Linked DNA regions of Macaca mulatta. The protein of the gene in region 3 interacts with the protein of the main gene of each other region in a biochemical or structural test. Links are inferred from orthologs where the notes say so. Each region holds a gene or a part of one and is shown on either strand. Other genes may lie near its edges.

Region 1 (4,246 bases), on a different chromosome or scaffold from region 3:
CCACCAGCTTCTTGTGGGAGGCTGGATATTATCCAGGCCTGCCCGCAGTCATCTGGAGGCCTAAACCCTCCCTGTGGTGCTGTGCTTCAATGGTCACGCTCCTTGTCCACTTTCATGCTCCTCCCGTACTCCCGGCTCCTCTTTGAAGTTCGTAGTAGATAGCGGTAGAAAAAATAGTGAAAGTCTTAAAGTCTTTGCTTTCTTATGAGTGTATAGAAGAAAACGCTGACGTATGCTGCCTTCTCTCTCTGCTTCGGCTACCTAAAGGGAAGGGCCCACTTTCCTATGATCACGTGACTTGCTTCACCTTATCAATCACCTAAGACGACTCACCCTCCTTACCCTGCCCCCTTGCCTTGTATCCAATAAATAACAGCGCAGCCAAGCATTTGGGGCCACTACGGTCTCTGCGTCTAGGTGGTAGTGGTCCCCAGGGCCCAGCTCTCTTTTCTTCTATCTGTCTTGTGTCTTCATTTCTACGATCTCTCGTCTCCGCACACAAGGAGAAAAACCCACAGGCCCTGTGGGGCTGGACCCTACAGATTTTTAACTTTATTTAATTTTAATTACTTCAAATTTACCTTTAACCACATGTGGCTAATGGCTACTACAAACCTGTAGTGCCACTAAGAAGGTGAGTCTCACTAGCAGAGCAGTTGGCCACATGCAAATAGATGGTGGTGTTTAGATTTCTCTCCACATTTGCTAAACACTCCAGGAGGTCAACACTGTGTAAATGCATTGGTTCATCTTTTTCTCCCTCAATAACCTGATAGAGTTAAATTACAATTTCCCAACTTTTTAGGGTAAGAAATTTCAGGGAAACTGAGTCACAGAAAGGGGTTTTTCTGTTTGTTTGGTTCATTGGTTGTGGTTTTTTACGACTTGCTAATACGTTACAAGGCCAGGATGAGCGCCCAGATCCAAAACCTGCCTGTTTTTCAGCCATACTAGGGTGACAAAATGGCAACCTGTGGTTCCCACAAGGTTCTTAAAAAATTTCTGAATTTGTTGCTAACATTTTAAGCCAGGGAATTTGACAGAGGAATCAAGATTTCCAGCTTCTTTTTTAAAATGTGAAAGCTGGCCCAGGTACAGTGGCTCACACCTGTAACCCCAACACTGAGGCAGGAGAATCACTTGAGGCCAGGAGTTTGAGACTCATCTGGACAACATAGCAAGGCTCCTATCTGTACAAAAAAAAATTTTTTTTAATTAGCCAGGCATGGTGGCATGTGCCTAAAGTCCCAGCTACTCTAAAGGCTGAGGCAGGAAGACCACTTAAGCCAGGAGGTCAAGGTCGCAGTGAGCCATGATCTCATCACTGCACTCCAGGCTGGGCAAGAGTGAGACCCTGCCTCAAATAAGTGAAAGATCTGGCAATACTGGGCCATTTGCTGGTATGGCCATACTCAGCTGGAGTCAGAGAGCAGTGCAAAGGTATCCACTATGATGCCCATCCATCAGGCCTCCACAGGCACTGAGTTTGTGATCCCCGTGAACATTCCTGAAGGCAAGGACTGTGGCCTCAAACCATTTCTGTTCCCCAGTAGGGGCCACACAGAAGTCACAAGACTTAATTATTAATGAATAATTACTCATATGATACTCAATTATTTAAAGACTCTTTCCCTGGGCCAGGGCACTGGCCAGGGATATCCAGCCAGCCACTCACACCTACTGCACCTCATGGTAGGAAATATCTCCTGAGTCCTCACAGGCCTGTGATGAGGGTCAAATGAGATAAAGATGAGAAAGTGCTTTTAAAGAAAACCTCAAATGTTTGACTTTATTATTCTCCATTACCTGCATCAGGTCCCCTCATTTCCAAAACCTCTTAACAAAACATAAACTGAACACAGAAGGGGCTGGCCAAAGAGGGCAGGGCACACTGAGCCCTCGCTCTGTGCCTGGCACTACATTGTTTCACATCCATTATTTCATTTAGTCCTTATGACAGTATTATTCTTATTCCCATTTCACAGCCCAGAAACCGTGGCTCAAAGAGGGTAAATGACTGGCCCAAGAACACGCTGCCAGGCAGTCTTGATGCCAAAGTGGGTTCCCAATATCTCTATACTAGAAAAGTAAAAACGCACACGCCTCCTTCCTCGCAAGTATTAAACTAAAATGGAGACCAACCATGAATAATTCCTGAGCAGACAAAACCGATCAGGTATCCTTAGTGACCTAAATCTTGCTTAAACTGCAAACAGCAAAATTTAACTTGGGTCATATCTGATAAATGCTTATGTTAGAGAGAAGTAAAACTTAACTCCAGCCAATGATAAGCAAGCATAAGCAATCAACTAACAGACCTTTAAAAAAAAAAAAAGGGCAATTTTGTAACTGCAAACCAATCAAATAATTTCGTTATTTTGCTTCCACATTTTCCCAATAAATACTTGCCTCTGACCTTTTGTCATTGCAACACTAAACCTCTTTCAGTCTGGTGTTCTCCGATTCATGAACTGTTTCTAATTCAAAGTTTTCAAGATGGGTCTCACATTTTTCCTTTACACAAGACACACAAGCACTAACGGTGGACGCTGACTGAGTATGGCGTGGAATCGCTTTAGCGAACACCCGACTAAGAGGTGTTCGGGATTCTTAGTCTCCGCTGAGGGGTTCGAAGCCACAGGGAAAGCTAGGCTCCCGCACAATGGCTCCTCGAGGGGCGTGGGGACCCGGCCGTGCAGCGCGGGGCCAGGGGGCCAGGGGCGGGGGCGCACCTGGATGTCCTCGATCATGTGGGGCTTGAACAGCTCGCGGCTCAGCAGGGCGTCCCAGAGCTGATCCACCTGCAGCTCCTCCACCAGCCGCAGCCGGCACCGCCGCAGGAGCCGCCGGTCCGCTTCATCCATGGCGAAGAGCCTCAGTCTGCTTCCGGGCCTCGGCCGCCCGCCCCAGTCCCCAGGACCCGCCCCACTCCCCAGGGCCCGCCCCCGCGTCACTGCCCAGGGTCAGTCTTCGCTCCACCGCCTCAGGACGCATCTCCAATGCCTCACCCCGCCCCCAGGAGTCGCGCTTGCGTCACCTCCCCGCCCTCAGGACAACCCTCCGCGCCTCGCCCTGCCCCCAGGGTCAACTCTCGGGTAACCGCCCCGCCCCAGAACCCGCCCCCACGTCCCCGCACCGCCCCCGCGTCACCGCCCCGCCCCCAGGACGCATCTGCAAGGCCTCGCCCCGCCCCAAGGATTCGCTCTTGGGTCCCCGCCTCGCCGTCAGAACGCACCTCCGCGCCTCGCCCTGCCCCCAGGGTCAATTCTCGGGTCACCGCCCCGCCCCTGAACTTGCCCCCGCGTCACCGCCCAGTGCCCGGGACTCGTCTCTAAGGCCTCACCCCGCCCCCAGGTTCGCAATTGCGTCTCACCCCGCCCTCAGGACGCACCTCAGCGCCTCGCCCCGACCCCAGAATCCATCCCGCGCCACCGCCACGCCCCCACCCCGCCCCCAATGTCAATCTTGCGCCACCGCCCCGCCCCCAACGCCAAGCCTCGCGCCACTGCCCGGCCTCCAAGAGCCAACCCCCTCCCCTCGCTCCACCCTCAGAATCGTCCATGCGTCACCGCACCGCCTCGGACTCCAGCTCGCACCCTCGCCCCGCCCCCAAAGTCAATCCTCAGCCCCAGGATCCAATCTCCTGTCACCGCCCGGCCCCAAGGCGGTACCTCCGCACCTCGCCCGGCTCCCAGGGCCCAGCCCCGCCCCCGCGTCACCGCCCCCCTCCGGGCGCAGGTGCCCGTTTGCAATTGTGGCACCAGTTCCCAGTCCACCGAGGGCCCCTCGCCAGAATTCACTACGGCCCCGCTTTTACAGAGACTCGGAGAGAGTCGTCACACTTCCAGAAAGAGGGAAACCATGAGTGGAGCCACGGTCTGCCCCACCCCGTTCAACCTCCTCCGGGGCATGGATTCCCCTTAGCCTCCTCCTCCACCCCAAGAAAAACCATAAGCTCCCCTCACCGCCCCTGTGCCCAGATCGCAGTTGACTGTTCCAAACTCGAGTGTCTGATCCAACCAAGCCCACCTTACACAGTCTTCCGTTCCCTCTTCCCTCCCTCCCACCCTAACACCTCCCACACAGAAAAAAAACTGGCAGAAATCTAGTCCCTCTAAACTCCTGTCGTTTTGAACGGTTCATTTTCACATTTCAAAAATAATCGTTTCTGTTTACTGAGCATTTGCTAAGTCCCAGGCATCGTGCTAGCCACTTTTCATGCTTATCTCATTTATCCTTAACTACA
Region 2 (4,269 bases), on a different chromosome or scaffold from region 3:
AGGCACTGAAGCAAATAAGAAGGAGTAAAGAACAGAAAGAAACCAGAGAAAAGCATATATTTGACAGAAAAGATGTGGTGTGAGAGTGTAGTGGGGCAGAAAATACCAGCAAATAGATAAAAATCTCCAAATATGCAGACTCTGACTCAGCCCTGAAATACTCACATTCGGTTCAATCTTAATCACCGCAAGATCCAATTTAAGGTCAATATCCTTGACAACGGCTTCATAACGGGCCCCATTCTGGAGCACCACCTCAATCCACTGCTGGTTCCTGACAACGTGGGCATTGGTAATAATGAGCCCATCCTCAGACACTATGAACCCAGAGCCACTGTACACAGGAACAGGCATCCTGCCGTGAAGTAACCTGTCTCCACAAGACAATAGTATAGACAGAGGGCAAGAAAGTTAGGGGATACAGCCATATCATCTGAGAGTCACGGGAACCTCACTCTTATTAAACATACCTCCATCACAGTTTTCTTTTCTTTATTTCTTTTTTCTTTTTTTGAGACAGAATCTCGTTCTGTTGCCCAGGCTGGAGTGCAGTGGCACAGTCTCGGCTCACTGCAACCACCTCCCGGGTTCAAGCAATTTTCCTGCCTCGGCCTCCCGAGTAGCTGAGACTACAGGCATGCACCACCATGCCTGACTAATTTTTGTATTTTTCATAGAGACAGGGTTTCACCATGTTGGCCAGGCTGGTCTCGAACGCCTGACCTCAGGTGATACACACGCCTCGGCCTTCCAAAGTGCTGGGATTACAGGCGTGAGCCACCATGCCCAGACTTCCATCACAGTTTTCTCAGACATTTCACTTTTCCCTGGCTATGCGTAAATTTTCTCCATGTATCAATGGACTTGGCACCCACAGGGCCCCAGCCATCTCTTGTGAGCATGGTTGAGAGCTGGCTCCAGCTCTCCTTTTCCAGGGACACTGCCTCTTCAGAGTTGGTTAGTGTAGCAGCCCATGGGTTCTCTGCTGCGAAAAGGCTGAACCCAATCCTAATACTAGAGGCAAAAGTAAGAGCCTCGTACCACAGTGTCAAGGACCCAGGCAGGAGAGAATCAAAGGGCTCTGATTCTGGCTTAGTTTCCACCACCAACTGGCCTCGTAACATAGGACAAATTAACCCTGCTCTCTGGGTCTGGATTTCCTTGCCTCCAAAGTGGGGGCTGAGCAAGATCACAACCAAAATGCCTACTAAGCTGGATGTGGTGGCTCACACCCGTAATCCCAGCACCTTGGGAGGCTAAGGTGGCAGATCGTTTGGGTCCAAGAGTTTGAGACCAGCCTGGGCAATATAAAAATACCTTGTCTCTCCAAAAAATACAAATATTAGCTGGGTGTGGTGGCACCTGCCTATAGTCCCAGTTACTCCAAAGGCTGAGGTGGGAGGATTACTTGAGCCTGGTAGATGGAGCTGCAGTGAGCCATGATCTGTCATTGCATTTCAGCCTTGGCGACAGAGCAAGACCTTGTCTCAAAAAAAGAAAAGAAAATGCCTACTAGCTCTTACATCTGACCTTAAATTTTGTCTGTGGCAGGACGGGGAAAAAGCACCAGCCACCTAAGTGGGCAGGGGGAGCTCGGATTTGGAAGTTATCCTTGTGCCTCTGCTCTTTGGTTAAATGACCTTGAACAGGTTATTCAACCTCTTTATGTCTCAGTTTCCTCACTGGTGTTTTAGGATTAAATGACGCTTGCGAAGGGTCTGGAGTAGGTAGGCACGCAGAAACCATTAGCTGGGACAGTGGAGGTCTTCCTCCTCCTCCTTTACCTGCCCCACAGCTGCATGTGAACCACCGATGGCGCCACCTTCTCCACCACCGCGGCGATGAAGTTGTAATTCCTCCTGAGCGGGCCTGCCCTTCTGCTCCCTATGAAGAAATACTGGGTCAAGAGTACGCCTCGAGCGAACCAGACCTGCTATCCTAGTTGGGAAAATGTTAAAGGCAAGTCAGTGTTCAAAAGGTGCATGGTGAGGGAGAATCCACATAGCAGAAGGTAAAGAGCCCCTGTTATGGAGGAAAGGAAATCAGGAACAGAGAGGGGTCGAATCCAGGAGGCAAATGACGCAGGAGGACCCCGCGCGAACTATGCGATCTCAGTGAGGTCTTGTTCCTTTACGCTCCTCCAGAGTTAGAAAGTGTCCCCAGGGTGCGCGCCCCCCGCGGCTCACCTGTATCCCCGCAGTCCCCCCACTGCACAGGCACGGCCGAGATATTGCCCAGGCGGCGCGCGGCCCGGTTTTCGGTCCGGAGCGCACACAGGCTAGGGTAGGTGCGCCTGTCGCTGCCGCACACGGCCACTCCCTTCGTCGGGCAACCGCAGGTGCTGGGGAGCCCGGGGCGCAGCGGCTTGAGGCACTGCAGCCCCGGGGCGCACGGCTGTCCCTGCGCCCCGCCGCAGACTTGACCCTCGGCCGCGGGGCAGACGCGGCAACAGCGGCACAGGTCGAGCACCGGCGTGGTCCCCAGCGAGCAGGTGGGCAGCGCGGGGCAGCGCGTGGGCTGGCAGACCGCGGGGCAGGCCAGCTGGGTATGTAGTCTCTCAGCCCCGGCCCAGAGGACCGGCACCAGGAGCAACAGCAGCCCTGGCAGGAGGCATCGTCCCAGCCCCGCGGGCCGCAGCTGAGGTCTAATCATCCTGCTCCTTCCTTCCTCGCTTCCACTCTTCAGTGACTTCACTCTGGACCTGCAAACGCTCCTAAATGAGAGACACTTTCTCCCGGCCATGGCGCCGCCTCCGCCGGCCCCCAAACTTTAAGGGGCAGAGCCTGGCATACCTCTCCACATACACACCCGTACATCCCCTACCACCCGCCCCTGTCCGCTCCCCGGAGCCAGGTTCTCCCCCAGGCAATGAGGGGAAGGTCTCTAGCCCTACCCGGAGGAGGAACCTACCTCCTGAAATCCCTAAAACAGACAATGGGGGCAGACTGATCGCGGTACTTATATGACAGTGCGAGCGGAGCAATGCCGAGGTTGTGAGTTCGATCCTCACCTGGAGCACTTTTAATATTTATATAGGTGGGTAGTCGTGGCCGAGTGGTTAAGGCGATGGACTTGAAATCCATTGGGGTTTCCCCGCGCAGGTTCGAATCCTGCCGACTACAGTTTTGGCCGGGCGCGGTGGCTCACGCCTGTAATCCCAGCACTTTGGGAGGCCGAGGCGGGCGGATCACAAGGTCAGGAGATCGAGACCACGGTGAAACCCCGTCTCTACTAAAAATACAAAAAATGAGCCGGGCGCAGTGGCGGGCGCCTGTAGTCCCAGCTACTCGGGAGGCTGGGGCAGGAGAATGGCGTGAACCCAGGAGGCGGAGCTTGCAGTGAGCCAGGATCGTGCCACTGCACTCCAGCTTGGGCGACAGAGCAAGACTCTGTCTCAAAAAAAAAAAAAGAAAGCTCACCCACCCGTGGTCAGAAGGTACTAGAAAAACACATGGCCATATTTCAGTATTTCACATGGTTTTATTACAAAACAAGCCACAAAACAGTTTTAGAAAAGTTTTGCTACATACCAATTAGGAGATCACATAAAATGAGAAGCGTAACAGTTTCCATGCACTCAGCCTAGTGCTTACTGCCAGTGCATTTCACAGCTGAAACATCACTGCTTTAAAACACAGAATCATGCTACCCCTTCATAAGCAGAGGGGGAGGAGGTCAAACAGTATGTTTTTGCCAAACATTGCTTTATCTGAACTCTATCTAGTATAAAGGACTGGCTGCCGCAGGCAATAACACAGAGAGGGAAAAGGAACAAAGGAAGAAAACGATGCTGGCAGACAAGATTTAACAAACCTGTCCACTTCCAACATGTCTAAAGTTTATAAACAAAGCTCACTTGGGGACACTCAATTTCCAAAATGCTGTGACCTCCACATATGTTATCTGATTTACGCTGAAAACAAACCTACTAAATTCTACCCCTCAACTACTGAACCTGCTATTTATTCATGGGGTCCTTTTAGCCCATATAAGAGTATATTTATACTCAGAAATAGAAAAGAAAAAAACTTTTGCTTCAAGTAGACTAAGAAGCTGGACCTTAAAACTACTTTCTTTCTCGTGGGAGCTGAGTATTCAACTCAGAAATAGATGTATAACTCCAGTATTCTGACCTGACACCAATCTCCATAATGCATGGCTCAATAACTTTATGATGTCTCACTTAACACTAAAGGCCAAATTATTTTTATCAACCATCAGCTGATATTGAGTAAGCAAGTCTTTTGAAGCTTTCAAAAGTAATGGATG
Region 3 (4,097 bases):
GAGTGCTTCTAAATAAATATTTACTTTTCAAAAGAGTGAAATCTGAACTATTAGCATGGAAACAACCTCTGGGAAGACAAGATCTCCACTCAAAAGCTTCAAATTGAGATTCTCCTGCTCATGTTGAATGATGGTTTTATCTAATATTTTCTGAAATAGGGTGACTACTTGAACTACACAAAATTGTGAAATGAGAATATCTTTGATTTTATACTTTGTTTTTTCTTTTTTTGAGATGAAGTCTTACTCTGTCACCTAGGCTGGAGTGCAGTGGCACAATCTCGGCTCATTGCAACCTCTGCCTCCCAGGTTCAGGTGATTCTCGTCCCTTGGCCTCCCGAGTAGCTGGGATTACAGGCGTGTGCCACCATGCCTGGCTAATTTTTGCATTTTTTGGTAGAGATGGGGTTTCACCATGTTGGCCAGGCTGGTCTTGAACTCCTGACCTCAAGTGATCCACCCACCTTAGCCTCCCAAAGTGTTGGGATTACAGGCATGAGCCACTGTGCCTGACCACTTACATCTATTTTGATTGACTTGAAATAAAATTTAACACCCCAGGGAAGGCAATTCTCATGTGTTTTGAATTATACTGAGCATTAATTCTTCAGGATAATTATAGACTTGGAAATGTTTAATCCAGTCTCCTAGTCCATGCTGAAGCTCCTTTAAGTGATAGGAGGAACTCATAATCTACAAGGCAACCCAATCCATTTGTTGCTATATCAATTGTTATAAAGCTCATCCTTGGGTTAAAATTGGCTGTTTATAGTTGTATTTAATGACCTTAATTCTGCCCTCAAGCTATACAAAATGTGGATCTCTTTTCTACATGATAACCTTTTAGATATCAGTCTATCCTCCCTACCCTTCCCCTCACAATTTTTCCACCCTTTGCGATAAATATCCTTTGCTATTCTAACTATTTCTCATATGATATCATTTTTATCATCCCAATTGCTCCCTAAGGACATTAAACTTTGTTAATGTCCTTTCCAAAATGTATTTGGAACTGGAAATAATATCCCTTGGTAGCTGAATTGGATCTGGATGTTGCACATCTGGACACTAATGCAGCCTGAAGTTGCTGTAAGTTTTTTAGTCAACTTGTAATGTTGGCTCATGATGAATTTGTAATTAATTAAAATTCCAAGGTTTAATCTGGAGGATTGCCTTTATGTGATTTTTTCTTAAACCAAGTCTCCATTTTCTTTTAGTTATGCAACAGATTTTTTTTTTTTTTTTTTTTTTTGAGACGCTCGCTCTGTCACCCAGGCTGGGGTGCAGTGGCACGATCTCAGCTCACTGCAACCTCCACCTCCTGGGTTCAAGCAATTCTCCTGCCTCAGCCTCCCGAGTAGCTGCGATTACAGGAGTCTGCCACCACGCCTGGCTAATTTTCTTTGTTTCTTTTTTTTTTTTTTTAAAGTAGAGATGGGGTTTCTCCATGTTGGTCAGGCTGGTCTTGAACTTCTGACCTCAGGTGACCCACCCTCCTTGGCCTCACAAAGTCCCGGGATTATAGGCATGAGCCATTGCACCCGGCCCTTTTTTTTTTCTTTCTTTCTTTTTTTGAGATGGAGCCTCACTCTGTTGCCCAGGATGGAGTGCAGTGACATGATCTTGGCTCACTGCAACCTCCGCTGCCCGGGTTCAAGGGATTCTTCTGTCTCAGCCTCCCGAGTAGCTGGGATTACAGGTACCTGCCACCACGCCTGGCTAATTTTTGTATTTTTAGTAGAGATAGGGGTTTCACCATGTTGGCCAGGCTGGTCTCAAACTCCTGACCTCAAGTTATCCGGCTGCCTTGGCCTCCCAAAGTGCTGAGATTATAGGCATGAGTCACTGCACCCGGCCTATGCACCAGATATTTTTAAAAAACCAGATGTAAGACTTTACACTTACCCCTATTAAATGTTATCTCATTAGCCTATCAGGTAGCTTTGGTTTTTTACTTTTATTTTATTTATTTATTTATTTTTTTGAGACAAGAGTTTCGCTCTTGTTGCCCAGGCTGGAATGCAATGGTGCGATCTCCGCTCACTGCAACCTCCGCCTCCTGGGTTCAAGTGATTCTCCTGCCTCAGCCTCCCAAGTAGCTGGGATTACAGGCATGTGCCACCACGCCTGGCTAATTTTGTGTTTTTTAGTAGAGACGGTTTCACCATGTTGGTCTAGCTGGTCTCGAACTCCCGACCTCAGGTGATTTGCCCACCTTGGCTTCCCAAAGTGCTGGGATTACAGGCGTGAGCCACTATGACCGACTGGTTTTTTTCTTAAGACTAGTCAAGTGCAGAGTGAGAAGAGGGAAAAGAGTAGAACAAGGGGTTTGATCAGCCTTGGTTTCTTTGAATCTTGATTTTTGTCATTCGGTTTATTATGCTGATTCAACAGAGGGCCCTGAAGCTAATGTTGGAATGTTTTCAGACATCTAGGAAATGATAATTCATCAAAAGTCATGGAGACTATTCCAAAAGTTTTATGCAGATATAACTCAGCTGTTGAGGTATGAGTTAATACCACTATAAGTTGACATGGCCAGGAAAGACAAGTCCATTGCCAACTTGCTTTGTGTTGAACATTACTCCAAAAGAGATTAAATTCTAAGACATATTGTGTCAACATAAAGGCAAAAGAGCTGGCTAATTCTTCTCAAGAAATCAATGGCTCGACCTTTTGGCTCATGCCTGTAATCCCAGCATTTTGGGAGGCCGAGGTGGGGGATCACCTGAGGTCGGGAGTTCAAGACCAACCTGACCAACCTGGAGAAACCCCGTCTCTGCTAAAAAATACAAAATTAGCTGGGCATGGTGGTGCATGTCTGTAATCCCAGCTACTTGAGAGGTTGAGGCAGGAGAATCGCTTGAACCCAGGAGGCAGAGGTTGCAGTGAGCCAAGATCACGCCATTGCACTCCAGCCGGGGCAACAAGAGCAAAACTCCATCTCAAAAAAAAAAAAAAAATCAATTAATGCACATATAATATAGAGACAGAGTTCTTGTTACCATTATTTTGCCTTTGACAAGTTTATATTGAGCACATTATCAGGCAATGTGGGAGATTCTGGAGAACCAGGTTTGCCTCATAGCTAGGGTTACCATATGCTCTAGTTTGCCTGGGGCAACCCTGATTTATGCCTGTTGTCCCAGTGTGATTATTGCTAGTGTGATTTTTCACTTTGAGAAGTGTCCAGGTTTGGAAGATAAATTATCTTGCTATCCTTCTCATAACCTAATGGGTTCTCTTTAGTATTTTATCTGGGTTAAAATTACACAGCTGTAATTTGGCAGCTCTAATAAGACTGCAACAATACTTATCTTCCATTTGAACAGATTGTTACTTGACCAAGGGGAAGTTTTGTTTTTTTTTTTTTTTTTTTGAGGCGGAGTCTCGCTCTGCCGCCCAGGATGGAGTGCAGTGTTGCGATCTCGGCTCACTGCAAGCTCGGCCTCCTGGGTTCACGCCATTCTCCTGCCTCAGCCTCCCCAGCAGCTGGGACTACAGGCGCCCACAACCATGCCCGGCTAATTTTTTGTATTTTTAGGTGAGACGGGGTTTCACCCTGTTAGCCAGGATGGTCTCAATCTCCTGACCTCGTGATCCGCCCGCCTCGGCCTCCCAAAGTGCTGGGATTACAGGCATGAGCCACTGCGCCTGGCTACCAAGGGCAGTTAATAGCAAAAGTAACTGCAGGGCACATGTATGTCATGGGCAAAAAAAAAAAAAAAAAAAGCAATTAAGGTTTGCAGGTACTTAGAGTTTCTCCTGAGCCACTCTCTAGAGGGCAGTATTACATATATATCTGTAATTATCCAGTTACAACAAAAAAGGGGATCTGGTTCATGCATGAAAATCAGAAATATTTCATACTCTTAAAGAACACATTGGAACCAATATTATGATTAAAACATATTTTGCTAAGCAAAGAAATATTAAAATTAATTCATTAACATTCTGAACATTTTTTAATTTGTAAAAACTGAACTTTGATGCCTTGAATATATAATGATTCATTATAACAATTACGTACAGACTTTAATAATCTGCATATTTTATGCTTCTTTCATGTTTTTCCTAATTAATGATTTGACATGGTT
Region 4 (4,097 bases), on a different chromosome or scaffold from region 3:
ACAGGCGTGTACCATCATGCCTGGCTAATTTTTGTATTTAGTAGAGACGGGGTTTCACCATGTTGGCCAGGCTGGTTTCAAATTCCTGACCTCGGGTGATCCACCCGCCTCAGCTTCCCAAAGTGCTGGGATTACAAACATGAACCACTGAACCTGGCCAATTTTTTTGTTTTGTTTTTTTCAGAGTCTCACTCTGTCACCCAGACTGGAGTACAGAGGCACGATCCTGGCTCACTAAAACCTCTGCCTCCCGGGTTCAAGCGATTATCCTACCTCAGCTTCCTGAGTAGCGGGGAATACAAGCGCGCACCACCATGCCAGGCTAATTTTTTTGTATTTTCAGTAGTGAGGGAGTTTCACCATGTTGGTCAGGCTGGTCTCGAACTCCTGACCTCAGGTGATCCGCCCACCTTGGCCTCCCAAAGTGCTGGGATTACAGATGTGAGCCACTGCGCCTGGCCCAATTTTCCTTTTTTTATGTTATTAATTTTTTTTGAGACAGGGCAAGCGTCCAGCAATGGGTAAGCGGTGGGGTCGGTCCACACAGGCGTCCAGCAATGGGTAAGCGGTGGGGTCGGTCCACACAGGCGTCCAGCAATGGGTAAGCGGTGGGGTCGGTCCACACAGGGAGCGCCGGTCCCCCTGGAAGGAAACCCAGGCTCTAACGAGGTTCCTCTGAGGACCCTGCTAAGCGAAATGCGCCGGCCACAGAGGGACTGTCCCGCAGGAGGCCGGGACCAGAAGTAACAGCCGGGCCGAACCTGAACGCACTTCACGCCGCTTGAACCGCACACGCAGGAACGGCGCCGGCGGAAAAATTTATTTCGGGTTCTGCCACCAAAAACATATCCTTTAAACAAATCTGCCGCGGTTTCCCAACTCCCTTAAACCAGGGCCCCAAGTTCTCCTCCGAGTCTCCGCCCCGCACCCAGCCTCAAGCCTGGGCAGGCGCTTCCGGTGCGGAACCTTCTGGAAAGCACCGCACCGCCCTCCCGGCGTCTCCACAGCTCCGCCCGCACCTGCGCGCACCGGCGTTCGCGAGCACCAGTGACGGGACGGAAGAGTGACGGGGCAGGCGGCTCCGCGAAAACACCCCTTCGCTGAAGGCTGCCCAGCGCCCCGCCGCGCCCCAGGAGGCGGGACTTCCGTCCCCGCTTCCCGGAAGCGGCCTCCCGCGGAAGCGTGTCCCTCGCGGAGCGCCGTCGGGGCCGTGGGCGCCTGCGCGGGCCGGCGCGGGAGCGGGCGGCATGGCGTTCCGGCAGGCGCTGCAGCTGGCGGCCTGCGGGCTGGCAGGGGGCTCGGCCGCCGTGCTCTTCTCGGCCGTGGCGGTAGGGAAGCCGCGCGCGGGCGGGGACGCGGAGCCACGCCCGGCTGAGCCGCCGGCCTGGGCGGGGGGCGCGCGGCCGGGCCCCGGCGTCTGGGACCCCAACTGGGACAGGTGCGCGCGGGGCTGGTCGGGCCTGGGGTCGGGATGGGGGTCAGGGCCGGTGTTACCGTTGGGATCGGGATCGGGACCAGGTTCAAGGTTGAGATCGAGTCGGGATCTGGGGTCGCCGTCCGCTTCTCCCGGCGAAGGAACCGCCTTCCGGGGCCGCTCTGCGCTGAGGGTTCTGGGGGCGGCGGGCCCTTCCCGCCGGCTTCTGTGGGCCGAGCTCCGCCTCATCGTCGCCCTTCTCTCCGCCCCTGCGAGTCCGTCCTGGGTGCCGTCGCCGGAGCGCGGGCCGGGGCGAGGCTGGGGTGGAAGCCGGGCCTCCTCCAGGGGCGTTTGCCGGAGGGCGCCCGCCAGCCGCGTGCGGTTAATGAGCGTTTGAAATATGGCCCGTGTGATTCCTGAAGGGAATGCTTAGTTTACGTCAATTTTAAACTTAAGCAGGCCGGGCGCAGTGGCTCACGCCTGTAATCCCAGCACTTTGGGAGGCCGAGACAGGCGGATCACGAGGTCAGGAGGTCGAGACCATCCTGGCTAACACGGTGAAACCCCGTCTCTACTAAAATACAAAAAAATTAGCCGGGTGCGGTGGCGGCGCCTGTAGTCCCAGCTACTCGGGAGGCTGAGCCAGGAGAATGGCGTGAACCCGGGAGGTGGAGCTTGCAGTGAGCCGAGTTCGCGCCACTGCACTCCAGTCTGGGCGACAGAGTGAGACTCCGTCTCAAAAAAACAAAAACAAACAAACAAAAATAAATAAACTTAAGCAGGGCCGGGTGCAGTAGCTCACGCCTGTAATCCGGGCGTTTGGGAGGCCGAGGCCGGAGGATCGCTTGAGCCCAGGAAGTTGAAACCGGCCTGGGCAACATAGGAAGACCCCCATGTCTACAAAAATTACAAAATAAGTTAGCCGAGCGAGGTGGCGCGCGCATGTGGTCCCAGCTACTCGGGAGGCTGAGGCAGGAGGATCCCTTGAGTCCAGGGGTCCCAGGCTGCAGTGTGAGCCGAGATCCCGCCACTTCACTCTGGCCTAAGCAACAGAGCCTGTCTCAAAGGAAAAAAAAAAAAGTGCAGGTTTTTAACATTGGTTATGTGTTGAAATAGTATTTTTAGCATATTGAATTAAAAGTATGATCGAAATTCACCTGTTTCTTTTTAATGTTGCCGTTAGAAAATTTATAATTTTCACATGTTGCTGGCATTCTGTTTCTGTCGGCCAGGACTGCTCTCGAGGCAAGGATGGTTTGCCCAGTCCTAACTGCTCCTTATACTCAGTATTCTGAGAAAGGGGCACAGAATTATACTTACTACTGTGGTTGTGTTAAGTACTTTATATTACTTTTTTTTCTTTTGTTAACCTTATTTCCTCTATTATTAGCATCATACACTAAGCGTGGTATATATATCAAAATTAATGAGCCGTAACCCATACATTATTACTAAGGTTCATGTTTCACTGAGATTTCCTCAGCTTTTACCTGCTGTTCTGTTCTAGGATCCCACATGACAAGCAATCTTCATGCCTCCTCAGGCACGTTTTGGTGGTGATAATTTCTCAGACTTGTTTCGATGATCATCACTGTTTGACGCATCCTGGTCAGGGGTTTTATAGAAGGTTCCTCAGTTGAGATTTGTCTGAAGATTTTCTCATGATTAGATGGGAGTTACATTCTTTTTCTTTCTTTTCTTCTTTTTTGTTTGAGATGGATTTTCGCTCTTGTTGCGCAGGCTGGAATGCAATGGCGCAATCTTGGCTCACTGCAACCACCGCCTCCTGAGTTCAAGCGATGCTCCTGCCTCAGCCTCCCGAGTAGCTGGGACTACAGGCGTGTACCACCACGCCATCTAATTTTATGTTTTTAGTAGAGACGGGGTTTCTCCATGTCGGTCAGGCTGGTCTTGAACTCCCGACCTCAGGTGATCCACCCACCTCGGCCTCTCAAAGTGCTTGGATTACAGGCATGAGCCACCATGCCCAGCCCATTAAATTCTTTTTTAAAAATCAGTAAAATATTCTGAATTTCTTAGGCCTTTTTAAGGAAAGAAATTAAGGTTAAAGAACTTGAAGTAGGTTGGGTGCAGTGGCTCACACCTGTAATCCCAGCACTTTTTGAGAGGCTGAGGCAGGCGGATCACTTGAGGTCAGGAGTTCGAGACCAGCCTGGCCAACATGGTGAAAGTCTGTGTTTACTAAAAATACAAAAAAATTAACCAGGCATGGTGGCACACACCTGTAGTCCCAGCTACTCAGGAGGCTGAGGCAGGAGAATCACTAGAACCCAGGAGGTGGAGGCTGCAGTGAGCCCAGATTGTGCCACTGCACTCCAGCCTGGGCGACAGAGGGAGACTCTGTCTCAAAAAAAAAAACTTGAAGTAGAACCAGGAACTGAGCCCAGCCTTTCTCTTTTAAGCAGGTGTTCTGTATTTGCTTGCCATGTCTGGGGAGAAGTGAATTGGGCCTTGTGGGCTGGGAAAGACTCGTACAGACAGAAGGCATGAGCAACTACAGGAAGGTGCTAGAAGACAGCGTGTTTCCTCTTGAGTCTGGTGTCCACGCTGTAAAGTTCCAGAGCCTCATCTGGTGAAATCTCCCGCTTCTTCCTGGAGGTCTCATGCAGTGCACGGCTTCCTGTCTCTGTGCCTATAGCTCCCAAATATTTTCACCCTGACT

What was found. The genes of interacting proteins can lie anywhere in the genome.
Region 1: the proteins of XIAP (region 3) and CASP9 form a complex in vitro, tested with the Homo sapiens proteins (12 studies listed by BioGRID and IntAct, with this or other methods). The link is inferred for Macaca mulatta from reciprocal best matches to the Homo sapiens genes XIAP and CASP9.
Region 2: the proteins of XIAP (region 3) and HTRA4 form a complex in vitro, tested with the Homo sapiens proteins (2 studies listed by BioGRID and IntAct, with this or other methods). The link is inferred for Macaca mulatta from reciprocal best matches to the Homo sapiens genes XIAP and HTRA4.
Region 4: the proteins of XIAP (region 3) and PGAM5 form a complex in vitro, tested with the Homo sapiens proteins (2 studies listed by BioGRID, with this or other methods). The link is inferred for Macaca mulatta from reciprocal best matches to the Homo sapiens genes XIAP and PGAM5.

Annotation. Positions count from the first base shown.
Region 1 is NC_133406.1:225,516,984-225,521,229, reverse strand, and holds the start of CASP9 (caspase-9), read right to left. Parts: upstream 2,886-4,246; 5' UTR 2,865-2,885; coding exon 2,733-2,864; intron 1-2,732. UniProt on the Homo sapiens protein: Involved in the activation cascade of caspases responsible for apoptosis execution. Binding of caspase-9 to Apaf-1 leads to activation of the protease which then cleaves and activates effector caspases caspase-3 (CASP3) or caspase-7 (CASP7).
Region 2 is NC_133413.1:40,930,079-40,934,347, reverse strand, and holds the start of HTRA4 (serine protease HTRA4), read right to left. Parts: upstream 2,886-4,269; 5' UTR 2,743-2,885; coding exon 2,187-2,742; intron 1,885-2,186; coding exon 1,785-1,884; intron 371-1,784; coding exon 166-370; intron 1-165. UniProt on the Homo sapiens protein: Serine protease.
Region 3 is NC_133426.1:130,314,008-130,318,104, forward strand, and holds the start of XIAP (E3 ubiquitin-protein ligase XIAP), read left to right. Parts: upstream 1-1,222; 5' UTR 1,223-1,434; coding exon 1,435-1,699; intron 1,700-4,097.
Region 4 is NC_133416.1:140,082,194-140,086,290, forward strand, and holds the start of PGAM5 (serine/threonine-protein phosphatase PGAM5, mitochondrial), read left to right. Parts: upstream 1-1,212; 5' UTR 1,213-1,247; coding exon 1,248-1,438; intron 1,439-4,097. UniProt on the Homo sapiens protein: Mitochondrial serine/threonine phosphatase that dephosphorylates various substrates and thus plays a role in different biological processes including cellular senescence or mitophagy. Modulates cellular senescence by regulating mitochondrial dynamics.